Xenopus tropicalis: one gene and its partners. The protein of the gene in region 5 interacts with the protein of the main gene of each other region in a pairwise test. Links are inferred from orthologs where the notes say so. Each region holds a gene or a part of one and is shown on either strand. Other genes may lie near its edges. The genes, in order: rnf20, fez1, cul5, gapdh, htt, ezr and hypk.

Evidence for each region.
Region 1: the proteins of htt (region 5) and rnf20 interact in binary tests that used the Homo sapiens proteins (3 or more experiments, as listed by UniProt). The link is inferred for Xenopus tropicalis from reciprocal best matches to the Homo sapiens genes HTT and RNF20.
Region 2: the proteins of htt (region 5) and fez1 interact in binary tests that used the Homo sapiens proteins (3 or more experiments, as listed by UniProt). The link is inferred for Xenopus tropicalis from reciprocal best matches to the Homo sapiens genes HTT and FEZ1.
Region 3: the proteins of htt (region 5) and cul5 interact in binary tests that used the Homo sapiens proteins (3 or more experiments, as listed by UniProt). The link is inferred for Xenopus tropicalis from reciprocal best matches to the Homo sapiens genes HTT and CUL5.
Region 4: the proteins of htt (region 5) and gapdh interact in binary tests that used the Homo sapiens proteins (3 or more experiments, as listed by UniProt). The link is inferred for Xenopus tropicalis from reciprocal best matches to the Homo sapiens genes HTT and GAPDH.
Region 6: the proteins of htt (region 5) and ezr interact in binary tests that used the Homo sapiens proteins (3 or more experiments, as listed by UniProt). The link is inferred for Xenopus tropicalis from reciprocal best matches to the Homo sapiens genes HTT and EZR.
Region 7: the proteins of htt (region 5) and hypk interact in binary tests that used the Homo sapiens proteins (3 or more experiments, as listed by UniProt). The link is inferred for Xenopus tropicalis from reciprocal best matches to the Homo sapiens genes HTT and HYPK.

What each region holds. Positions count from the first base shown.
Region 1 is NC_030683.2:57,227,008-57,230,936, forward strand, and holds the start of rnf20 (E3 ubiquitin-protein ligase BRE1A), read left to right. Parts: upstream 1-1,129; 5' UTR 1,130-1,255; intron 1,256-1,318; exon of another isoform or gene 1,319-1,414; intron 1,415-2,141; 5' UTR 2,142-2,174; coding exon 2,175-2,303; intron 2,304-3,929. UniProt on the Homo sapiens protein: Component of the RNF20/40 E3 ubiquitin-protein ligase complex that mediates monoubiquitination of 'Lys-120' of histone H2B (H2BK120ub1).
Region 2 is NC_030683.2:74,207,105-74,210,604, reverse strand, and holds part of fez1 (fasciculation and elongation protein zeta-1), read right to left. Parts: intron 2,384-3,500; coding exon 2,303-2,383; intron 1,468-2,302; coding exon 1,392-1,467; intron 1-1,391. UniProt on the Homo sapiens protein: May be involved in axonal outgrowth as component of the network of molecules that regulate cellular morphology and axon guidance machinery.
Region 3 is NC_030678.2:159,962,315-159,965,814, forward strand, and holds part of cul5 (cullin-5), read right to left. Parts: intron 833-3,500; coding exon 723-832; intron 1-722. UniProt on the Homo sapiens protein: Core component of multiple cullin-5-RING E3 ubiquitin-protein ligase complexes (ECS complexes, also named CRL5 complexes), which mediate the ubiquitination and subsequent proteasomal degradation of target proteins.
Region 4 is NC_030683.2:10,006,238-10,010,314, reverse strand, and holds the start of gapdh (glyceraldehyde-3-phosphate dehydrogenase), read right to left. Parts: upstream 2,801-4,077; 5' UTR 2,753-2,800; intron 1,615-2,752; coding exon of another isoform or gene 1,518-1,614; coding exon 1,515-1,517; intron 1,436-1,514; coding exon 1,329-1,435; intron 1,228-1,328; coding exon 1,137-1,227; intron 1,046-1,136; coding exon 930-1,045; intron 294-929; coding exon 212-293; intron 1-211. UniProt on the Homo sapiens protein: Has both glyceraldehyde-3-phosphate dehydrogenase and nitrosylase activities, thereby playing a role in glycolysis and nuclear functions, respectively.
Region 5 is NC_030677.2:22,766,896-22,770,395, reverse strand, and holds part of htt (huntingtin), read right to left. Parts: intron 2,806-3,500; coding exon 2,687-2,805; intron 2,036-2,686; coding exon 1,924-2,035; intron 529-1,923; coding exon 391-528; intron 228-390; coding exon 69-227; intron 1-68.
Region 6 is NC_030681.2:64,210,901-64,214,400, forward strand, and holds part of ezr (ezrin), read right to left. Parts: intron 2,957-3,500; coding exon 2,796-2,956; intron 2,331-2,795; coding exon 2,238-2,330; intron 1-2,237. UniProt on the Homo sapiens protein: Probably involved in connections of major cytoskeletal structures to the plasma membrane. In epithelial cells, required for the formation of microvilli and membrane ruffles on the apical pole. Along with PLEKHG6, required for normal macropinocytosis.
Region 7 is NC_030679.2:107,675,004-107,679,046, reverse strand, and holds hypk (huntingtin-interacting protein K), read right to left. Parts: upstream 2,801-4,043; 5' UTR 2,794-2,800; coding exon 2,632-2,793; intron 1,944-2,631; coding exon 1,888-1,943; intron 1,255-1,887; coding exon 1,203-1,254; intron 805-1,202; coding exon 709-804; 3' UTR 470-708; downstream 1-469. UniProt on the Homo sapiens protein: Component of several N-terminal acetyltransferase complexes. Inhibits the N-terminal acetylation activity of the N-terminal acetyltransferase NAA10-NAA15 complex (also called the NatA complex).

The DNA of each region.
Region 1 (3,929 bases), on a different chromosome or scaffold from region 5:
ATGTGTAATGTTTGTGTAAGTGCGTGTATATGGGTGTAAATGTGTAAAAAGGATTGCAGAACCTACACAGCAGGAAAGGAGTGGGTGGGCACTGGAAGTCAGGTCCTTTGACAATCAGGTAAGAAATGGGTGTCCCCTTGGCTCATTGCTGTGCAGTAAGGAAGCTCTTTAATGCAAAGCAAGTAGGCACTAAGTGTTTGGCACTTACAACATTTTTCTGCCAGTATGTGTACCCACAATGAAACACATACCTTGGAGGCACACAGACTAACCCAACCTATCTCCCCATTCCTGACAAACAGAAGGTGCCCTCATTTCCCTAACCTGACCCCCAAAGACACAAACAAACCTAGGAGTGGCACATGCTACCTCACTTTCCCACAGTCAGGTATAAAACTAGGAACACAAACAATGCAAGGCATACACATACCTAATATACATAAATAATGCCTTACTTACACACCTCCAAACCACCCCCCCATCCATAACTAGAGACCTCACTTGCTGCCACAACCCATAAGTCTAATTTCCCTACACACTGCTCTTGAGCCAAATAACCCCAAAGACATAAACCTACCACAGCTCATGTAATCTCACCACACACTGTACCTCCCCCACTAACCCAAAAAAAGCCATCCCCCAAAATTATCTAACACACCAAAAATATCAGCACACTCCAAAACTCTTCCCAGGGCTCGAAATTGTGCAGCACGTCTCACCAACCCAAACGAAAAAAAAAAATCAACAACCACCCTTCAAAAAATGCACACACCCCAAAATTCATCAGCACCCTTACCCCCAAAAAATACAAGCACTCCAAATATAAGAAGGCTCCACTAACCCCCTAACACACCTTACAGAGACCAGCAAGTGCGTAAAAGATCCACAGCCTCCACTGAACAAGCAAGTGTCCCAGTATTCAGGCAAGAACAGAACTCCTGCATTTAATCCTGTCCCAAGAAAAAAATAATGCTACCCAGCGCAACCCAATACTCACAGAATAGCGCACTGTGACACTACCTTTAATGAGCCATTCTATCCATAGCATCCCCGAGTAACCACTGTGGAACGCACTCACCTATAATTTACTTACACAGGCATTTAAAGAAGGCGCCGAATGTTACGTGTTGGAGACGTCGCCACGTCTTCACGTGATTGAACGTCACTCACGGCAGTCGGGAACTAGCAGCTACCGAGCGGATCAGGGATTGCGGGCTGTATTAAAAAATTGGCCTGTTCTGCGGGAATACGTTTGGTATGTATTTCCATATAGCAGGGGTCACCTTTAGTTTAAACTAATAAGATTAATCCTTTAGGCATGCTTGCAAGCAAAAAAGGGATATTGCAGAGCAAAACTGGTTTTGTATTATTTTCTTTTCTAAAAAGGAGAAACCGTCATACTGCAGAGTGAGAGGGAATGACTCTTTGCTTTGAAACAATAAACTTCCAAATAAGTTGTGCAGAATATACCTTTATATCAGCAGCAATGTGCATGTATCTTGCTTGCTGTTAACACATAACGTTTAGTTTTTATGTGGTTTGATGTGATCAGGTTTGATAACGTTTGACCTGCTGCAAGAATACATTAATTCCTAGAAAATGGGACATGCACATTTTGTCATTGCAATGTTTTTAAAATTGAAGGGGTTTTAAAGTTATTTGTACATGTAATATCTTTAAAAAGCTGTCTCTGTCTGGTTGCCTATATTCTTTGCTTTTGTGAAACAAGCTGATGCAAGCCAGCAGATTAAAAGAAAGATCAGACCCTTTGACATTTTTTTAAAAGTCAGACCCAGAGGATAGAAAATGATAAATAAATATGTTTTTTAATTTCCATTTTCCATTCCATTTTCACATAATTTTTAAAACCATTGAAAATGTTTAATAATGTTTATTTTTTTTTGTGCAGAATTCCTTTAATGGCTTTATTGTAACACTAGGTTACTAACCCTTACATAAAGATTTCATGTGGTAATACTCTTATTTTCATAGCATTTTCCTTTTTTAGGTAGGCTATTCATAAGCTTAGTCCTAGTGTGTATATTGGTCTGGTGAGTGTACACTCAAGTATCTGATATGTCTTTTTATTTCATTCATTTGCATGTGAATTTCTTTCTCTGTTTACACTTTGCCCTCTTTAGGTGTCTGAAATAGATGTTGAAAAGCTTACAGGGATGTCAGGGCCTGGAAGTAAACGTACTGTGGGGGATGTAGGTTCTTTAGGACCCCCTGAAAAAAAGGCAGCAGTGGAAGATTCTGGAACCACTGTCGAGACGATTAAACTAGGAAGTGTGTCTTCAACAGTAAGTGCACTTATCAATTTTGTTTACTGCGGATCTGTTTAGGACTTTTTTTGGTATGTCTATAGCTTATGTAGCATTTTGAATACAGCTGGCATTTGCCATCTGGTACTACACCTTTAAATCCTTCCAGCCTGAGGCATAACCTTCAGAAATCTAATTTAGTTTGCCTAAAGGGAACATTTGTAACACTGTGTGTTATTTTGTGTTAAAAACTATTTATAAAGCACTAAGAGGACTGATCAATACAATTCTGTGCTCCTACAGTAGTTAAATATTGGCTGTCCTATGTTAATGAGGGGAAGGATCCAGCCTCCACAGTATTGCTACCAACTATATAAAAAACTTTCTGTATGCAGAACACATGTTAAGCATGCATCTTAACCAATAATATAGGGATAGTGTCTCAGCCATTTTTATCCCTAAACATCCAAATAATTACTTACTATGCAGCTTTATGGCACACTGTGGCGTTTTGTTGCCACAATAAATCTTATGTTTTTTTCACTGGCATTTGTTTTTTTGCTGGTGGGAAGGAACCAAGGGACTTTTTTGTCTGTGGTAGCCAAGATTTATCAAAACGTCCCGTATGTCTTTGCCCCAGCTATGTTGTTTCGCTTCCATATTTAGGAAATACATTTTAAATTCCAAAAAAAAACCCATCAACATTTACCAGATATCCCTTGATGCCCAAGCCTGGGAAGGCAATGACAACTCTCAATTAAGACACTGTATCAGAGCAATAAAGTCTAACTTGTTCACCCTGGTTTTCTATAAAAGAGTAACCTATGCCTCTGTTCTTATCTAGTTCTCATGTATCTGCACAAGGGCTGTGCCAGTTATCTGATGCTGCCATTCAGGGCTGAATTGTCAGAAGCAATAGAAATTCTACCTCCACCTGCCGATTCAGCCTTAAACGTAGATTTTGCTGATGAAAATCTTCTAACATTACATTAACATTTATTTATAAAGCGCCAACATATTCCGCAGCGCTGTACAATAAGTGGGTTACATACATTGGACATACAGAGTAACATATAAAGCAATCAATAACCGATACAAGAGGTGAAGACCTGCCCGATCGACGAGATGACTGATATCTGCAGCCTTTGCGATATTGGTCGTCTTGTCTCGCCACCATAAATGCACCCAATATCGTATGAAACAAGGTTTTGTATGATAATATCGTTGCATGTATGGCTAGCTTTAGTCTTTTTAGCTGTTTACACTTCCACTCAGTTTGTTCATTGCATTAAACTGTAAGTCTGTGATCTGAGGATTTTCGTACAGCTTACGTTGTTCGCACTTGTTGGATGTAGCTGCAACATGCTACAATTGCTAGGCAGTCCACTCAGCTGAACATACTACATGAGACCTTGTTTGGCCCTGTGGTAAGACACTGTTTGAGCAGACTGTCCGTTTACTTCAGGGTCACCTGTAGTATAAAGTGTGTAATATATATATATATATATATATATATATATGAGATATATAGATCTAGAGAGAGAGAGAAATTGCAATAGCATATTATATATCACACCAAATAATACACTGTGCACCTAGTTTGGTTGACAGACAAGTCAGTATTTTGGTCAATGCTTTGACCATTATCAAGATATATATATATTT
Region 2 (3,500 bases), on a different chromosome or scaffold from region 5:
GGCACTGAGAGTTGTGGATGGTGGATTTTGGTCTCCCTATCAACAAATATTAGCAACTCATGAGCAATGAACCATAAGGGCAGAATCATAAATCATTCAGAATGATGGATGCAAAGTCAAAGGTCTAATAGTATTGCACTATTGGTATGCCAATATTTTTGTCCTAACAAAAGCCTTTTCTAAATGTTCGCTAAATGTAATGTACAGCTCTGTGCATACAATTAGCCCGATATTTATAAAATATTATAAAAATATACATGCATTTCAAGTATTTGTTACATTTTAATTTACACAACAATGGGATATATTATCTGGAATACTTGGACCTAACGTTTTCAGTATAAATTTTGTGCCGTATATGAAGTTTACTACATTTAAAAATAAAGAATAAATAGAACTGTCTTGTTATCAGCATGGAAATGTAATTCTTAGCAACTTTCAAATATACATTCATTAAGGGGATGGTTTAACTGAGAATGGCCTGTTCCTAGCAACTTTGCTATTGTTTTTAATTATTTATTTTTTAAAGTTTTTGAATTATTTCTCTTCTGCTTTTTTCCAGCTTTCAAATGGCCACTGACCCCATCAGCCAAAAACTATTGCTCTGAAAGGATACAATGTTTATTATTTTTGTTACTTTTTAATATTTATCTTTCTATGCAGGTGCTCAACTATTCATATTCCCATCTCTTGTTTAAACCACTGCCTGGTTGCTAAGGTAAATACAATACCAACTAGAGAGCTGCTGAACAAAAAGCTAAATAACTGAAAAATCATAAAAATAAAAAAGAAGACCGACTGCAAAGTGTCTTAGAATATCAATGTCTGCATCATATTAAAAGTTAATTTAGAGGTGAACTACGCCTTTAAGAAATGTCAGTGGTTTTAAATTTATTTGTATTAATCATTTTAATTCAAAGCAATATTTATTTCCTGCTACCCTTGTGCTTCATTGTGCCAGGAGCCAGTAGGGCAAAGAAAAACAAGACAGATACTGCATTAAATCCCAATTACATTTACAAATAGCAAATAACAATTATAGTTTCAATCAGTAGATTCAGAGCAAAAGCAACTTTGTATATCTATATATACATGGATGGCACAGACAAATAGTGACCACAATCCCACCCTTTTTGTACAAAACAATCAGGAATACAGGGAATGGAGCTTTTGTTGCAAAGACTAATACTAATCACTGTTATGTGTGTGAAGGCAATGCATTAGGTTTACATAGCAGTTTAGTTATAGTAAGAGATTTTAAGTGCAGACTATATATGATAATATATGTAATGTAATACAAACATTTTTTAAAATATTGTTTATATGATTATAAAAAAGTTTACAAAATGACACAACAGTTCTTATACATGTTCTAATGGAGACAGCCTTACTATTAGTCAGCATCTGCAGGTCCTCAACTGATGGAGGGGTCCCTCTCTTCTCATATGGTATCACTGTGTTTAGATACTAAAGGAAACAAAACTATATATAAAAAAATGATGCCAAAACACTGCAGGGGCACTGCATATACAATAGTGCTACCGCCACTCTTATAAGGGCTCCCACAGTGTCTTGCATCAACTGATAATATTAACTTGTGCTTAAAGAACTGGGCACAGTCATCATTTTGGTGCCAAGCACTGGATATTATGACATGTGAACAAATATTTTCGGTATTTTTTTGTCCAAAAATACAAAAGAATATTTTATATTAATGTGAGTGAAGCTGATACAGTGTCCTTCCTAGAAGGAGGATTTTTTCTTACCAAGGTAGCAATAATTACTTTGAAATCTTTACTGTGCCACCCTCATAAAGGATACCCCTTGTATACATTGGTGTGTTTTGAACAGATATCAAAATACACTACCAAGGTCACAGGCAAGTGAAATAATACCTGTCCTCTCTAAATCAGTTCAGTACAATCAGAGTTGAGAATTGAGTTGCAGAAGCTTACTGTATACTGGGTCCTCAGGGGAGCCCTCCCTAAGAATCATCAGTGTTTGCTTGCGACACATAGGGGCACATTTACTTATCCACGAACGCTCCGAGCTTCGTTCGTTCCAATCGAAAAAATCACATCGGTTTTGCCGCTGTTTACAATTTCTCGATAAAAAATTTTGTGACTTTCGGAGCACCAATACAATATTATCGTGACTATTACGATTTTTTCGTAAGCATTTACGCGATATTTGCAATCTTCAGAAATTTTCGTTTCCAATCCGAATTTTTCCCATTCAGGATTCAAACTCGTGTTATGATAAATCTGCCCCATAGTATGTAGTACTGAAATATACAGCTCACCTGCTTATCATTTCCAGAGTTTCCAAAGGTCTGTCTGATCCCTGACTGGAGAATATTGGAGAGTCCTTCTATGCTAAAACGCTATGGAAAGCAATAAAAATATTATTATGTATAAGATATGATAGTACGGTGCAATGCTTTAAAAAAAAGGTAGAGCTTTAATTGAAAATCCATTTATATAATATTTTTTAAAGATTCTTGCAATCACCTCCAACTTAATGGACATGGTGATATTCTTATCAGTTTCATAATATATTTTATTTTTATAATTTGTTAGGAAAATCATACAAAAATAAATAAAGTCTGTTTTCTGAAGTACTCCATAATCTACCCATGTTGCTGAAAACATTTTGTTACCCAAGGCTGCATTTTGGAGGTATTAGCATGGCTTCTGGTTAAAATTAATTTCCTGGATATGAAAGAGAAGGACGTTTTCTGTGCCTTTTTCTGGGTGGGTCTGTGTAAGTGCTAAATCCAAGTTGTCCCCAACTCAATTTTGATATGATAGTGTTACAACATGGCCCCCGTGTCTCAGTGGTAACATGCACAGCTAGTTGAATAGCACAGATTCTAAAATATCTGTGTTTCTTGCAGATTAGAATTGTATGAATTTCTAATTTAACAGACTTCCATATGTTCTGCAGGTCAGTTGTCCTGCTTTCCTTGTGAAATGAATGAAAATTTGCTCACATATGGAGCAATGGGGACCGAATGCCCAGAAAACTTCAGCGCGTCCTCTCTGCACTACTCCATACGTGAGTTAAATGGACTTGCATGCGCGCCGGGGGGGGGGAGCTATTGGGGCAGCCTTGGGGCGATGCGTTAAGAAATCCAGGCCTGTATAAATGTATGAGAACATTATTTCCAGATTCCATTTTTTAGGTAAACTTACTAGGTTACTCCCTATTATGCTAGTTTATAAAGAACTTTCCTGTGAAAGTTAAACCTGTAACGTCTACATAATAAAAGCCAAATTACTATACAGGTATCGGACCCCTTATCCGGAAACCCATTATCCAGAAAGCTCCGAATTACGGAATGCCCGTCTCCCATAGACTCCATTTTAATCAAATAATTCAGAATTTTAAAACTGATTTCCTTTTTCTATGTAGAAATAAAACAGAACCTTGTAATTGATTCCAACTAAGATATAATTAATCCTTATTGGATGCAAAACAATCCTATTGGGTTTAATTAA
Region 3 (3,500 bases), on a different chromosome or scaffold from region 5:
CATATAACGAGAATCTTAGTTGCAACTACAAAATGCCAGAAAATACCCTGCCATAGACAATACTAAGAACCACCTTTGCTACTACACATTTAGGGCAGTATAGCCTTGTGTGTACACTGCTCAGAACAGTGTTTGTATACATAGGATTGATCCTGCTTTGTCTTGTGGGATCCTGCGTGCATGTGAAGCAAATTAATGCAGGAACCTTTTTCCTGTAACTCAAGCATTAAAATTGCCAATGACCTAAATACTTTTTTAGAAGTCTATTTTTTATTAATAATAATAATAATAGCCAATTTGACTTGTAAGCTAAAAACAAACATCTGGTTGGTTGTTACAGGTTACTAGACCATGGCCAAATATGTGTTCACCCTGTAAATGCCATTCCCATGCTATGGGGTCCTGGTGAGGCCATTTCTTGCCTTATTTACAAACTCCATTATCTGAGGTCAGTATGGTTTAAAAGAGGAATGGTTATTAATATAATAAATCCATTAAGTGCAGTGGATGCTTAATAATGTTTAAAGCATATTTGTCATCAGTCAGCAACATACTGTGCCACTGTACATGAGTGGGAAGCAGGATTCCATGGAGGAGTAATATAAAGGGTAAATTTACCTTCAAATGCCCTTTAATACACACCTTGATTATCTTTTAGGCATTACAGGAAATTGTTTCTCCTCCATCACTTTAACTAGCACAGTTTTTCTCTTAATACTTACGAGAACAAATCGAACCATTGCTGTTTTGTGACGGATTCCTGGCGTAAAAGTTTCAGAACTATAGGTCTCATAAAGTCCCATTTGTCCTCAAATTGAAGGGAACCTTTATTCTGTAAGAGAAAGCAAATGCCATTTAGCTATAGTTCCTTGGTCCTACATCTGTAAAATAAAACTTTCATTTAACTTCAAGCCAATGTTATTCTTTCATATCGACACCTTTAGCTGATTGAACAAGGCCTGCTTAATTACTTGTATGTGATCATACATGTGCACATACACATCTCTGTACAGAAACAGCAATAAAATATCAAGTACAATTATAAAAGTCAGCAAGAGCAAATTTATAATGACATGTTCCTATAGACATTGCAGGTATGGGATCCATTATCTGAAACCCTGTATCCAGAAAGGCTTCCTTCCATAGACTCCATTTTTTGCAAATAATTTTGATTTTTAAAAATTATTTCCTTTTTCTCTGTGATAAAACAGTACCTGTACTTGATCCCAACTAGGATATAATTACCCCTTATTGGGGGCAGAACAGCTCTATTGGGTTTATTTAATGGTTAAATGATTCCCTTTTCTCTGTAATAATAAAACAGTACCTGTACTTGATCCCAACTAAGATATAATTACCCCTTATTGGGGCAGAACAGCCCTATTGGGTTTATTTAATGGTTAAATGATTCCCTTTTCTCTGTAATAATAAAACAGTACCTGTACTTGATCCCAACTAAGATATAATTACCCCTTATTGGGGGCAGAACAGCCCTATTGGGTTTATTTAATGGTTAAATGATTCCCTTTTCTCTGTAATAATAAAACAGTACCTGTACTTGATCCCAACTAAGATATAATTACCCCTTATTGGGGCAGACCAGTCCTATTGGGTTTATTTAATGGTTAAATGATTCCCTTTTCTCTGTAATAATAAAACAGTACCTGTACTTGATCCCAACTAAGATATAATTACCCCTTATTGGGGCAGACCAGTCCTATTGGGTTTATTTAATGGTTAAATGATTCCCTTTTCTCTGTAATAATAAAACAGTACCTGTACTTGATCCCAACTAAGATATAATTACCCCTTATTGGGGGCAGAACAGCCCTATTGGGATTATTTAATAGTTAAATGATTCCCTTTTCTCTGTAATAATAAAACAGTACATGTCATTTCGCCAGTTTCCATGAATGGCTAAAATGTAAGGTACAGAAATTGTTTAAGTCCAATTACTTTTAAAAATTGTTTTGGAAATGTTTTCTCCCTGCCATAAATGTTTATGTGATAATCGAATGAATCAAGCCAATATACATCTGTGCGCAGCTACAGTGATAGAAATTTTTGGGCAGGGTTATATTTTAGGTTTTGCACAGACTGCAACAGGCATTTCCCAGAAATAGCTACACAGGGCTGCTATGCAGCAGGCTATAAATAGGCCAGCGCCGTGACCAGTCCAGCTATGGGCCCGTTCCCTTTCAGTTACACAGAGCTAGAAGCCTTAACGAAGGGCTGTCATAATTAGCTCTCCCATATGTCTAGCTGAGGGTGCTAAATGGGAACAATATCTACTGTGCACCAACCTATTAAATAGCAGTAAGGATACCAAATGTTTAACACTTACTGTACATTTATAAATAATGGGGATCCATTTACGCCCACAAGTGCAGTGAGCAAGTGCCATGTTTTTTTCTCAGTGTTTTTTTTACCAGAATGCCAAGACCATTGCAGTCGCAAGGGGCATTGCATATGATGCTACTGTGCAGAATTGTACCTAGCATTATTTTCAGTGCTCAGCATGACGTCCCCATACCTTTGCAAAATGGGGTTCAATATGCAACTCACTGCGGGGAGAAGTGCAGGAACACAACTGCAAGGGCACAGCAAGCACAGTGTTTTGAGGGCCTTAAGGGCAATGGCACACAGAGATCAGTTGCCTGAGGTTAAACTTCGGCTACTGTGGGCGACTAATCTCAGGAATGGCTACAAGTTGCCTGGGATCCCTGCCATACATGAAGGAAGGGAAACCAAATGCCCAACCAATACGACATTAAACTCTTCCATACTGGCATCCAATTACAGGTATGGGACCTGTTATCCAGAAAGCTCGGGACCTGGGGTTTTCTGGATAAGGGATTTTTCTGTAATTTGGATCTCCATAACTTAAGTCTACTAAAAATCATTCAAATATTGAATAAACCCAATAGGACTGTTCTGCCCCCAAAAAGGGGTAATTATATCTTAGTTGGGATCAAGTACAGGTACTGTTTTATTATTACAGAGAAAAGGGAATCATTTAACCATTAAATAAACCCAATAGGACTCTTCTGCCCCCAATAAGGGGTAATTATATCTTAGTTGGGATCAAGTACAGGTACTGTTTTATTATTACAGAGAAAAGGGAATCATTTAACCATTAAATAAACCCAATAGGGCTGTTCTGCCCCCAATAAGGGGTAATTATATCTTAGTTGGGATCAAGTACAGGTACTGTTTTATTATTACAGAGAAAGAGGAATCATTTAACCATTAAATAAACCCAATAGGACTCTTCTGCCCCCAATAAGGGGTAATTATATCTTAGTTGGGATCAAGTACAGGTACTGTTTTATTATTACAGAGAAAAGGGAATCATTTAACCATTAAATAAACCCAATAGGGCTGTTCTGCCCCCAATAAGGGGTAATTATATCTTAGTTGGGATCAAGTACAGGTACTGTTTTATTATTACAGAGAAAGGGAATCATTTAACCATTAAATAAACCCAATAGGGCTGTTCT
Region 4 (4,077 bases), on a different chromosome or scaffold from region 5:
CAGTAGCACATACTACAAAAAAGTAAGTTAAGTTATGAAAACTTGCACAAAGCAGGGTTTTTATGTACAAGCTTGTTCACACTATTTTTAGAGAGACCTACATTGTTTGGGGGGGGTATAATTTCCATTAAGGTCACTCATACAGGGTGAGGGGGGAGACAGTTTGCTTTAGGCTCTATGTCCCAAGCTGAATAAGCCCCACTGCACTTACCATCAGTCCCTCCAGGATGCCAAAGTTGTCATTGATGACCTTTGCAAGAGGAGCCAGGCAGTTGGTTGTGCAGGATGCGTTGCTGCGGGCAAAGCAGGGGAAAAGGTAAACTAAGCATCACTCCCTTATTCCATCAGAGTAAAGAGGCCAGCCCATATAGGGAGGACACATTACTGCTTGTATTTGGGGCAAGGCCCTGTAAAGGCAGGCCCAGGGCTGGGAAGGCAGAGCCACTTTGCCAGTTGAAGCTAGCCAGCTTATGTAGAACAGTAATTGCCTGTGAGACTTACAGCATTAACATTCCTGAGCTAAAGAAAGTGGCAGAGAATGGGCAGCCTACATCAATGCCTGCCTACAGAGGCCTAAGCACTAGCCAATTACTGAGAGGTTCCATCAAGTACAGAATGGTTTGGCCAAGCAGCAAACCTAGAACAGGCTGCAATTTTATTATGGGCAGTAGAGGGAGCCCCTGCCTGATCAGTATTTGTATAGACAAATATCCTGATAAAAAAAGGTTTAAGGATTTACAGCCTTCAGGCTTAGAGTTTTACATGGTTGTTATAGTAAACAAGCCCTTATTAGATTACAGAAGCTGCAAACCATGAGCTATTGAGAACTAAAGAGTTAACCCAGTAATACAGAAGCTTGCAGACAGCCTGTAGCATTGTGGTAGTTCGCTCCCCCTTTAAAGGAACGCCCATTTTTACCCCACACTTACCTGACAACGTGAAGAGAGTTATCATATTTGTCATGGTTCACCCCAACAACAAACATGGGGGCATCAGCTGAGGGGGCAGAGATAATGACACGCTTGGCACCTCCCTTCAAGTGCAACTGCAGGTAAAAATTAAAAAAAAAAAAGTCCAGGGTGAATTCTAGATATAGAAAGCCAAATGTTATGGGGGGGGGGGGTGTAACTACTTACACCGGCCTTCTCTTTGGTTGTGAAGACTCCAGTAGATTCCACCACATACACTGCACCAGCATCGCCCCACTTAATGTTGGAGGGGTCACGCCTGGGGAGAGGAGAGAACTGTAAACATCCCCCCTGTGATTAGATTCTGCTGCAGGAACCCAGTCTAGAACCAGGCCAGGACTGAGCCACAACCTCACTTACTCTTGGAAGACGGTGACTGCCTTGCCATTGATAACCAGCTTGCCATTCTCAACACACACTGTTCCCTTGAATCGGCCGTGGGTGGAGTCATATTTGAACATGTAAGCCTGCGGAGAGTGGGAGGGGTTAATTCCCGAGCATTTTATACTCCAGAACACAAAAATGCAGATGAACGGAGCCACCTACCATGTAGTCCAAGTCAATGAAGGGGTCATTGATTGCAACGACTTCACATTTGCCGCTTAAAACAGCAGCGCGGGTCACCAGGCGCCCGATGCGGCCAAATCTTAAAAAGAAAAAATGATTTCTATCGTTAGATGTTTATGCGCTTAACCCCTTGTGCCACTGGCAAGCAGTAAGAAGATAAAGCCTTGCATCATAAGTGATGCGACGTCACAGCTAGATGTTAAAGGGGAAGTTTAGCCAATGCACTGAAACCACAATGCAACAGCTTAGTCCTTTGATCCCTATATGTTAAACTACAATTCCCATAACCCTCCATAGAATCAAGGCATGCTGGTTCCCCTCATTGGTTGGCTTGGGGAACCCCCAAGCCAACCAATGTTTGTCCACAGTGCACTGGCAATTGCCGACTCTTGCTGGGCAGTGTTGCCTGGTGCAATTGGTTGATCAGCATAGAAGTAATGGGGTGCACTGCTACCCCCTCTTTTTAAGCAGTTAGGGTGGGAAGGGCACCCTACATAGCTGTCATTATAGTGAATAGCAATAAACAGGGGCCAGTTACATAGAGAATACAGAGACCTAGATCAAATGGATCCCACTATTCTAAATGGCACAAGGGGGGGGCACATGATTTAGGCAATCTGTCACTAAGAAATATGCAAACTTAATGTACTTTGGTTTACTTGCCCTTTAAAAAAAAGGTCTGTGCCGCCATTAGCACAACACCTGCTGACACAGAAATCTCCACTGACCCAGACTCAGTTGAGCCAGCCTGGGGGGGGGGGGGCAGTTTATCCAAGCACTGCTCACGCAGCACAACCTGAATAATGGCTGTTATTACAAGCAATAATCAGTCTGCCTGCCACTGCCCTGTTATTACAGGCAATAATCACACAGCCTGCCTGTTGCGACTCCTGACACTGCCCTGCATGCTTCGAGGCACAATACGAGTGACTGGCTGCACATTCAGGGCTGAACTTTGCTCGGGGTGAAGTTCAACAGTGAAGTTCAGCGACGCGTAATGAGGACAAACAGGAGGGTGTGTAGTAAGGCTGAGAGATGAGTGGCCAGAGTGACGGGAGCAGCCTCCATTGTGGGGCAGTACTGGATCCGAGTCCTGGCAGAGACGTGCAGGGCAGAATGATAATGTCCCTGGCGTGGGTTACAGCAGCTGGCATCAACACCTCTATTAATAGGAGCCCTACTTAGCCATGCCAGGGGGGGGCATCTTAGTGTCCCACTTTAATGAGAGAAGTCTCTAGAAGGTTCACGAGAGCCCAGTCAGACTCTGTGCTGTGAGGATTATGGTCACTAACCAGAATAAAACAGCCAGGGGACTGTGCCTACGTGCGGCTGCCACCAGGGAGCAGGACGTGACTCAGCTTCCCCACACTTGTGCAATTACTCCTTATTCTGCAGCAGCGAGGGGAGGGGATTCACCCAAGGTGCCGTGCATCAGCCCCCCAGGTACAGCTCATCAATAGGACACTGACAGTGCAAGGGTGACCCTGGCCCAGGATACACTGTGACCTTGGGGTTGTCCTTGAGAGACATCAGCAGCCAGACACTGGGGACACCCCCATGCGCATTACTGTACCCCCCTCCTGGCAGAAGGTGGAGCAATGGGGAGCCGCAGCGGATGGAGAGGAGGGGTTGGGGTGTGAGGTGGGGAGCAGTGACTCAGTGGGACGTGAGGAAGCTTCACACTCCGCATGGTTCTGGCAGGGGAGGGGTTAAGGAGCAGCAGCCATTTTGAAAGAATAATCGGCCTGGACCATTAACCATTTATGAAAGGTCTGTAGCTTCATTACTTATAACCCCTCAACTGCCAGAGCCAAGGGGCATCTTACACTGGCCAATCGCTAAACCGTGCAGAGAACACTATCCCATCGGCCTTTAATCTGCCAAGCCATTAACCCCCCCCCAGCTGTTTGTCTGGGTCCATTACCCCCTTATACCCCAGCATCTCCCCCCACTCACCTGCATATTACCCCCTTAAGCCCCAGCACCCACCCCCAATGAAGTTATTAACCCCTTAACTTACCCATTGATTCCAATCTTGACAGTCATTTTGGTGTCACTTGGTTTAGTTATCAACCCCTAAAGGCAAGAAAGGAAATTAGTGGGGGGGGGGGGAACAAGAGGAGGGTACCCCGTGCCCAAGTCACTCTCCATCCCATCTATTGGGCACATCCACCCACCCCTCTGTGCCCCCAACAACCTACCTTTAATATTAACCCCCACACCACTGCACCTTGAATTGGTCCCCCTGCAGCTAAATCCCACCCAAAGGCACCCATATAGCCCATACCCACCCACTAGAGGGCAGGAAGTGCCCCATTTCACCCAGTGTCCAACCCAAATCATTAATACACAGACTCCTGATTACCCAAGGTTCCCACTTCCCTATATCTACCAGAACCCCATTACTCATCCCACCCTAAAGCCTCCCCAATCTAAGCACAGGCAGCCCTTACACCATCCCATCCTTAGCCACTAATACAGTAACCCCATTACTCACAAACACACTACATTGGAAAAGTACCAGTAGCACAGAACTACAACT
Region 5 (3,500 bases):
CTCTATTATGAAAATAACTACACATCACAATCTAATATAAAGCATAAAACTAATAGCACAAATACTACCTGTATTGGCTTTAACCTTTGAAATCCAGGTTTCTGCTTCAAAGTGTGCTTTACTAAGCACAGAAAAGACAATGGTCCCGGAAAGGATTGCTGTAGCTCCTCTAACCTGAGGATCTCCGTGGTTAATATAATTAAGAATATCTGAAACATACTGTATTTCTACAAAGGGAGAGAGAGAAGAAGAAATACATTCAGCCAGTCAGCAAAATGGAGAAAAGTGAACTCTAAATACACAAGTTTATATGACAATTAGAGACCATTACAAACCATGCATAAACCCTGCACCTAATGATATGAGGGTGTTTTAGCAGGAAAAACTTACCTTGAGATTCAGTAGTTTCAGTGGGCAGTTTGTACAGTTTGCTGAAGAAAGATTCTGGTAACAAAGCAACAGCTGCCCCAACACAACTGACAGCCAAGGCTTTTACACTGACCCGTACGTCTCTGTCTGGAACAAGCACTGCAGGAACAAGGAGATTGGGGATATTCAGGCAAATGCATACAGTTTTTAAGAGGTCATAAATCTATCACAAACTTCTCCTACTGGAAAAAACAGTGTTTAAAAACCCATTTCTATCCAGGATATATACAAAGCTACACACCTCACAACATTCCGCATACTGAAGCGGATCTCAGGGGTTCTGATGATGCTAAATTGTGTAAAGCGCTGTTGGGCCCTTAAAGGGGTGGTTCACCTTTAAGTTAAGTTAACTTTTAATATGTTATAGAATGGCCTATTCCTAGCAACTTTTCAATTGGTCTTCATTATTTATATTTTATAGTTTTTAAATTATTTGCCTTCTTCTCTTTGCATCTTTCAAATGGGGGTCACTGACCCCGGCATCCAAACAACAATTGCTCTGTGAGGCTACAGTTTTATTGTTATTGTTACATTTTATTACTTTTCCTTCTATTTAGGCCCACTCCTATTCATATATGAGTCTCTCATTAAAGCCAATGCCTGGTCGCTAAGGTAATCTAGACCCTAGCAACCAGATAACTGCTGAAATTCTAAACTGGAGAGCTGCTGAACAAAAAGTGAAATAATTACAAAACAACAAATAATAAAAAATGAAGACCAGATGCACATACTTTTAGAATATCCCTCTCTACTTCATACTAGTTAACTCAAAGGTGAACATCCTCTTTAAGGGTCTCACCTAATTATAGGTATAGATGCATTTCACTCATAAATATCCTCCATAAAGCCTAACCAACCTGAGATAAGTATTTAAATACAATGTATAAGAACATCGCCACTGTACCCCAGATACAAAGTTGAGAATGGTAATCTAGTAAACATGCTCTGGTTCTGTCCAATTACCAAACCATACTAGACAGCTATTCTTGGTGTGGAACTTCCAAACTACACCAAATAAACCCTGCTGGGAATTTCTCCCAGAGTTCCCCCAAGCCTTAGATCTAACTATATTTTAGACCACAGCTTTATTGGAAAAACAGTTTTGTCTACCCTACCTGAATAGGAGCTTCCAACGCAAGATACTTGGCATCTAGAAAGGTGGGACCCATGGCTGAAGCTGCACCCTAGTGATACCCCATAACACATTTCTCTGCACTTACTCGAGTATAAGATCCACTGCGTAATCAATACAACACTGGATGGTCATGATTTGCATGCACAGGTTGTTGTATATCATTAATCATGAGCTATGTATGCTTTGTACCTTCCTCTCTATTATGTTCTCAATAAGCACCCAAATTAAAAACAAAACAAAAACTCCTCATTCCTCTACCAGCTCCAGTAGCACAGGGGTTAAGTATCTATGTGGAAATCAAAGGCTCTCTCAGGCTCTGGAAGGAAGGAGTTGTAAGATCAATCCATTTCAATTCTTACCACTTTTCTGTCCAGTGAGCAGAAAGGAAGCTGACAGGAGTCGTACGCAGTGAATTAAAGGAGCAGCATCTTTATCCATATAGTGCCCAATATCTCCCTTTATTCTTGAAGGCTGAAAAAACATTGAAGCAAACAATTTATTCTAGCACCATTCAGCTTGGAGACAACTTAAAAGGGGCAGCTTACTCAGGGTTGTATCTTTGTCCGGTGCCACCTTAGGCAGTGAACTGGAGTGATCCTCTTTAGCAATCAGTGCATGAGAATTACAGTTTGCATACTTTGCATGTAGTGGTAGAAACTGCTGCCAGATTTAACCATAATTTGCCGACCTGGTTTGTCGAAGCACAATCAAAACAACTCAAGAGGTCCTCTGTATAATGAGCTGCTCTTTATAAAAGCATAACAAAGGCCCATGAACAAGAGGGGTTTGTTTATACAGATGGTTTCTCTGTGGACTACGGATTTGTTTGGATTCTGTTTGGGCAAACCAGCAAATAGAGTGTGAACTAACATTCAATTTTTGTGATAGAAATTTTTTTTTTAAAAAAAAAAAGCACAAGCCATATTTATTGAACTAATGTTGGAAAAGGATTATACTGCCCTTTTAAATCAAAGATTTATTTTGTTCTTCAAACATAAAATTGTAAAACTGAATGGGGGAATAACTTGGTGTAACAGAGCTTTTGGAATAAATAGCTTATTGTTAAGCAGTAGTACATATATATATATATATATACATGACAACTTGATCCATGTTACTCACTTTGTTTTCCAGATCGCCAGGATCCACAGGTTCCTCCTTGGGTACAAAGCGCTCCACGCTACTGTCAGAGGACTGTCGGCTATGGCCCATGGTTTTTAAAAGATGAGTTTGATTTAAACCTTTTTAAAGAAGAATACAAAGTAATAAAGACTATTTGGATGCACAATGAAACGTCATTACATACTGGCAATCCATAATATCCAATTGAGGGTACCTCTTATATAAAACAACAAAAAAATTGTAAATTAGCCCATGCGTCATCTGTTCTAAAACAGGAATATACAGATGTGTTCAGACACCATTGATACCCCCCATGTTTATTATGTATTATGCAGCTTAAAAGGAAAATTCTAACATTCCAGGCATAGCATACATTCTTCTTGTTTTTTTCACTGTTTCATAAAATACCATTGCACACTGCAAGAGATAACTCACAATGTAAGAATAACATTACAATGGGGGTAGGCTATCACTTCAAATATGCTTTTACCAGTGGATGTAATACATCTCAAAAAGTTATGGGCACTGACTTTGTACAGCTTAAAGGAGAAGGAAAGGCTAGTAAACAGTCAAGCTGCAGGAATAACTTCAGTTGTCTCAATAGTGCCCTTGAGTCTCCCCATATTTCACTTGTTCAGATGATCTGAAGCCAGACAGGAAGAAAAAATGCTGAGCTGTGTAAAGAAAGTTCCCATAATGCCTCACTCCTGCACAGACATGCAGACCAAGTGAACATGCTCAGTTAGTAAGACTATGAGTCAGCTTCCTGCTGATTGGCTCAGATGCACATTCCTAAGGGGGGGGAAGGAGTTCT
Region 6 (3,500 bases), on a different chromosome or scaffold from region 5:
TATACAGCGCTGCGGAATATGTTGGCACTTTATAAATAAATGTTAATAATAATAATAATAATCATATAAGGGGTCATTTATGCAACTCCAGGGCGCAAGTGCTAGAGCACACCATTTGGTGCTACTTTAAAAAACAGTTGTTTTGCAGGAAAAGCTGTGCTCTGCTTTTGTGCCTGATTGAAAATCCTTGCGTGGAGCAGAGGAACAAAAAAGATTGTGTAGAAACTAATGAATATTTAGCAATGTTGCAAAGAAACTGGTGTTGCTAGTATACTGTGTTCTGTATGTATATTTATTTATGTTCTGTCATAATTCTACAAACAACTCATGCAGTTCAATGAGTTTTGACACCTACAGTGAACTGTATCATTTTTCATTACTCCCAACAAAAAAAACAAAATTGAAAAAGACACACAATGATCTGCCATATATCCAATTTTAAACATGCCTACTGTGTGACCACACCTCCAAATACCAGGTCAACTTTGAAAATACACATGGCAGCATTAGACAAAGAACATGACAGCATTAGACAAAAAAAAAAAATGAATTGTACTTTTTGTTGAATATTGGGAGTGGAAGGCTGTCTCTCCCCCACATTGTCTCACTCAGAGTATACCCAAGCTGCTCTCCCTTGCCAGCTCAACTAACCCATATTGGTTTGGTTGTGTAATGCACAAGAGGTCCATAAAGCAGTAGGGCAATTTTTCACACTTTCAGCACTACTTTTTAAGTAGCTCAACAACATAGTGCTAAGGTGGACAACAGCAATCTCACTGATTTGCATATAAATTAATAAATACCTGGGTGCTGGGCAGCAGAGGTTTGTACTGCACTTGAGTGAAAGGAGATTTTGGGTTATTTTATTTTCACAACAGAAGATTTATTTGCAAATGCCCTGGAGACTGTGGTGTTTCAGTCACCTACACAGAATGCTGCCACTAGAGACTGAAGTGTGCCAGTTACTCACACAGGGTGCCACCACTGGAGACTGAGGTGTGTGACTTACCTACACTGAATGCCACTAACACTATAACTATAGGCAGTAGACCTACTATCTAACTGCACTTATGCATGCTTCCTCTTTAAGGACTGAGAATGTTCCTGTGTATGCATGCTGCTTTCCTGCAGCAATTTTACCATTTAAAAAACCATATAGATTAAACCCAACGCATTTTGGCCCTTACAGCATAAACCTTCATCAGGGTCATACAAATAGAAAAAGTTCATGCTTGTACCTGAGCAGTGCCCTTTTGGATTAGTTCCTTACAGTTTTTTTTATCCACATTCCCTCACACAGATGCAATTCTCTATCTAATCCCACTACACAGGCACATGAGAGCATGCCTCCCAGCACTCGGCTCAGCCCCTAAGATGGTCAGTAAATAGGGTTAATGCATTGTGCCAGGAGGAATATAAACTGCTCTGTCTGATGAGGACAAAGCAGCATTTTAAATCTGCCTGAGTATGGCCAGTTTAGCTTCATGCAGGAAGTGGCAAGAATAGGTTCCAGAAGATATCAGTGATCTCTGTGACAGAATGCTTTGTTGTGAAAATGATGATTGGGGTTTTTTTAATAAAGTTTTGAGAGAGCATAATTAATTAATGTGTCAAATGGTGAGTTTTACCTTTAAGTTGTCGATAGTGGGAGATGTAAGCTTCAAGGGAGATGTTGCTAAACAGAGAACATTTTCATTGTTTAAAGGATTTTGCTGCCTGGTCCTGGAAGCTATAGTGTTCTGGAAAGAATCAGGCAGGCCAGATAATCCATTCCAGTAGTCCAGCTCATAAACTGGAGCTCACTTTCAACAGGAAGGCTCCTGTGGAAAGGTATTTAATTGTAGTGAGAATGTTAGAAAGGTCTCTCTGAACAGGGCACAGAGCCTGTGTTGGGACCTCCCAGAGGGGCTGTGGGTGCTGCCACGTCAAGGAGCACAAGGAGCCTTTGATGAAGGGACTGAGAGTCTGAGTCACTGTGAAATTGATGAAAAACAAGAGGCTGAGCAATCCTCCCAAAGGAGTATAGTGAGTACAGAAGTGACCCCAAATATATGTGTTTTCTTACTGGTAGTCCGCAAGGGGTTCAATTTATTTAGAGAGCTCAACAAATGTGCTGAAATGGTCACTTCTGTGTTTTAAATAAACTCCCTTAATTTGAAGAAAGCGTATGTTGTGGTTCTCACAAGCTTACAAAGAAAGAAACATGTTTAGTTTCATAGAAAGTGTAAAAAACTTACCCTCATTTGCCACTCGCTTGCTTCATCTTCTTTGACTCTCCTGGCCTCCTCCAGCAGTGAGATTCTAGCAGTATATTCTGATAGTTCAGAAGCCTAATTAGAGTATAGATATATATGAAAAGTGCATTATGTACATATAATATAGTCATGGTTAGGGATATACTGTACATACAAAAAGTGTACCAAAAAATAAAAAAAATATTTTTAATGAATACAAATAACTTGGCAGAGAAACTTAAACATGCCTTATGTATATATTTAAATATAATGCAAAGTAGAGAGTGGCAGGTTAAAATAATGCCTGACAGGGTTCTATGGTTCCCCTTTCCAACCCCTGCTTCCTATACCTTGGTCCCCAGATGTTTCTGGCCTACAACTGGAGAATTCTGGGAACTGTAGTCCAGCATCTGGGGACCCAACTCCATTCAGAAGCCAAAAAGTCAAGCTTCTCACTCATTTATTAAGTGTATGTAGATTTGGCATATTCATTAAGAGTTTCCAAAAAAAACATGGAAGTAAGAAAGAACTAATGCTCTGTCCCAGAAAAAAGTATCATACCAGTTGTTCTTGGCTTTTTGTCTGGGCAATTGCTTGTCTCTCCAGTTCTTCCTTGGCACGGAGAGCAGAAATACGTTCTGCTTCTAATCTCTCTGCCTCATACTGTGCCCGTCTTCTCTCTTCCTCCAATTCCTTGGCTCTTTGGATCTGCTCTGATAGTTCTGCAAACACAGATCAAAATATTGTCTTTTTAACGGTGATATCAAACCAATAAATGTATGAGACTCCCTTGGTAACTGAAAATGAAGAAAATATAGTAGCAAAGAAAGTAGCAGTTAAACATTTATAATTCCTGCATCATACTTTGATGAGTTTTTATTAGATGAATATATTCTCACTGTCTTTTAAGTGTTATCCTTAATATATATCCTTAGTGTATATATAATTCTACATTCATCACAGTAAAACTGACAGCTCTATAACCATTTAAAAGGTGACATTTTTCAATTGTAGAATTATAATTTTTTTTTTGTTTTATTCAGGATAGAAATACAAAGTGAAAGACCTGCCTCCCCATCAACAAAAGACCACCTGTCTGGAACCTGTCTGGAACCATGCCATGAAACATGCCCTTGGACATCAACTTCCAACACCTCCGATATCTTGATGGCACTGCCATAACAAGGCAATGCAATCTTGACTGTATATCTACTTGCTGCGGTAATCTGTCTGTTATGTTTAGTTTTCTTTTCAATAAAATTTAAG
Region 7 (4,043 bases), on a different chromosome or scaffold from region 5:
CACATTTCTGTCCTACTACTTTAGTTAGGCTGTAGTTCTCCTTTAATGCTTTCCTGCTTGTCTCACTAGATCTCTCAATAAAAGGGTAAGTGACCTTGGTTCTACTGTACATGACAGCAAAAGTATAGGTCACCTGGACCCATATAGTATAAATAATGGGCTGTCAATTGCTTCCATGGGCACCATCTCTATGTGTAAAGTGCATGCTTTCAAAATACAGTGTGCCACTAATTTACTCAAGTGCTTATTATGGGAGAAATCTGTGTGCCTCCATGTGGTCTGATACTCTTGGGGACAATACACTTAGGTCTTCTATGTTTATGTCTGGGATAAAAATAAGTAAAACACTACAGTTACTGTTAAAAAACACCACAATTAATGATAATTATGGCAATGAATTCGATCACATACATACTATTTCAGAGATGTGTACACGGCATGGCCAGTTAAAGCAGCACTCAGAATCGTATTTAGAAAGATGGTGTTTATTCTAAATAAATTAGTACACTTACTGTTGGCTTCAGTATTTGGAAATGGAGCCCTGAATAATGCATTATTTTTAATATGTCCAAATAATCATGCTAAGAAGGAAAACAGCACTGTTTAATGTCCTAATAAAGTCCACAACTCTTAATGAAAGTATAAAATCTTTTCAGTTCTAAGTAAATTTTCTTCAACAAGATAAAAATCCGTGCAGCATCCAGAAGATCAGTTGGTCAAAGCAATCAGCGCCTCTACTACATTCCCCATGTGTTCCCGCAAGCTTCTTTCTGCTGCTGTTCGAGGGATTTCCATTTCATTCATCTGAAAATGAAAATATTCTCATTTTATAACTAAGTCATAACTATAATGCTCTGTTTAAGAACAAATCATTTTTCAGTAGAGGCCTCCAATGCAAGACTAGTGTTACCATATCTGCATACAGCAGCCACCAATACTCTCCAGTTTATCCAGCACTCTCTTCTACTGGTTCTTCCACCCCCACCTTAATGCCAGCTAATAGTAAATACACAATTGATCTAATCTCGATTCCAATTACAGCCTGGCGAGAGAGAAAAGTTGGCCTGAGGATATGGCCAAACTACACATGATCCACTGGCCAGTTTTGCTAGGTAATATTCTTGCACGTTACAATTTCAATCCTGATACTTCTGACTATACCACAGTCACTGGCTCCTGCCCAGATCACTATCCATACTTACAATAAGCTCCACGTCTTCTTTCTTGATTGTTACTTTGGCCAGCTCCTTTTCTCTGAAAAAATAGAAGCTTGATTAGCTATTGTATTTATAAAAATTATTGCGATTTCAACGGAACCGAGTAGGCAGCTTCTGAGCAGATAGATCAAAAAAATTGTGTTTGAACCATCACTAAAAGAACATTGAGAAGTCTTCATATTTGGTAAAAACCATAACACTCCCAATAAACCTCAAAAGTAGTAGCGACACTCTATTCAACAGACTGCTGCATAATTTTTGGATAATCAGTGTACTAGTGACACAGGCTAAAAGGCCACCAGTGGACAACTATCCTTGCCAGAATCTACAGTACAGCAGAGGTTGCTTACTACAAAGCCACAGGAGTCATTAGCTTTCATTATATTACTCCTAACAAGATCTATTATGGCATGGGTACCAAGTATGTGGCACAATTTAAAGCCTCTCCAATGTGTTTCAGTCACACTGAGCCTTTGACACTACTACATGATCCCGCAGCTTACTGACAGCAACCAGATGCTAAACAGTCCATATCTGTTGAACCCATTAGTAATGACACTGCCCAGTAATACTCTACTTTATAAAACTCCATTCTACATTTTAAATGAGACCTGATTACAATGCAATGGAAAGGGCCAGTATAAAATGTTGTATATGGTATTGCAATTACCTCTCCTGTTTTGCTTTCTGTTCTCTTGATCTTCTGTCTCCAATCACTGACATGGCCTGCACAAAAGACAGGTGAGATTAGAATACCAGTCTTGGAACACAGAGTTCTTTCTTCATAAGCAGTCATTCAAAATGTATGAACAATGTTTCAATACAGTTAAAGGGAAAGCAGTGTTGAATTCTCACTCACTTTGTTGCCCCTGGTAACTTTATTTAAGTTCGGCCTTAAGTCTAGCACACCAGTAACCTCTTGTTCCAAATGGACGGGTTTGTTCTAACCTTCCTTCCCCAGAAGTAAAGTAGAATTTAGGAAGCTAATTGCAGCTCTGCTGTAATGCCCACTTACAAGATGGCAGCTGGCTGGCATGATACAGTGCAGCCAGGGCAGGTAACCAGTGAGAGTCAAATGCCAGGCTGGTGTTAGGAGTATATGGGAAACCAATGCAAAGGTTATCTAGTAAGAGCATGTTCCTTCTATATGTGGATGAGTAAATTGCAAGGAAATCATTATTCCTCCTGGCACAGTATTTCCCCTTTAATAATGCCTCTACTCATGTAATGATTGCCCCGCACACCAGCTAAAAGCTGTATCTGCCTGATCTGCCAAGCAAGTATCTTCCACTGTCTTTCTACAATAACCTAACAGTGACAGTAAACATAAGTATTGCTTTATTGCAGCCATCCAGAGCAAACGATCATCAGTCCATGCCCTTTCCAATAACCCAGGCTATTATTTCTCTCTCACCGTCTCCAAGTTGGAGCTCTGAATCTCTTTCTCCTCGGCATAGTCTGTCACTCTCTCCAGATCAGCGGCCCCACTGTCATGTTTGCGCGGTTTGTCGGCAGGACGCTCGCTGCAGTTCTCTTCAGTCTCCAATTCTAACTCAACATCCCCTTCTGCCGCCATCTTTCCCACCTGTACCGGAACACAAGGCAGTAAAACTCGCTTCAATCGCCGCTTCCGGTTTCTTGGCCTATTGCATTCGTCACTTCCGCGATCTCTATCGTTCTTTGGGCAGGGGGCGGGACAACTATGCGTTCCATTAAACCGGAAAAGAAAGTTCTTGCATAAACTTTGCCTTCTCCTGTGCTGAAACGTTAGATTGATTGCTACCGTAGAAACAACGGGGCATCAATGGTGTTTTAAATATTTAGATATTTGTCTAAAGATTTTAAAAGACAAATAATATTTGTAGTTTAGTAGTTTTACTCTGGCATGAGGATTAACAGAATCATTTGTCCAAGAGAATGCTTGTTGGCAATTGGGCACATTTGCGGCAGTCAAAGCTGACAGTTTAATTGATTTCATGCAACTGACTAATGCCGACCTATCAAAACTCCTATGTTTATCAGAAGATATCTGGTCCCACTCCCCATAGTAATAGGGGCCGATTTACTAATCCACGAACGGATCGAAAGTGCCCGAATGCGTTTTTTTCGTAATGATTGGTATTTTGCGATTTTTTCTTCGCTGTCGCGACTTTTTCGTAGCTGCTATGACTTGCGCGAATTGTGACTTTTTCGTAGCCGTCGCGAAAAAATCGGAAAGGTTTGCCCGCCGCTTACTAGCGCTCAATACGAAAAAGTTGCGACAATTCGCGCAAGTCGTAACAGCTACGAAAAAATTGCGACAATTCACGAAAAAGTCACAAAAGGGATGAAAAAAATCGCAAAAAATACAAAAAAGTCACAAAATGTTTGTTTCCAATCCGATTATTCAACTGAAAAGAACCTAAATCCTCCTAAAATGAGCTCAGAGACAGGGAAGGGCAGAGCTGGGGGCTAAACAAGGTGTTGCCCAAACACACCCAAAAGTAAAGACTCGAAAGTTGACGTCTCTGCAGAGGAAAGCTGTTTGTTGGATTATACAGCACCAGGTCAAATAAAATGACTGAATATGAGACAAACTTAAGTATCTTGTAGAATTGCCTATTGTTCATAAACGTGCCCGCTTCGTATTAAAACAATCTCTTTTAAACATGTTTAAAAAAAAAACTGAGTAACTTCTCAGTGATGAGGCTCCATGGAAACTTCTGTGCACTCCTTACTTTGTTGTGTCCACTCACAAAAGCACAGCTAAGAGGGAATATGTAATTCCGTTTTCCATGTTTTGCCAAAATATTGGGCAACTGCACACAACCATAGTTTTTGTGTGTG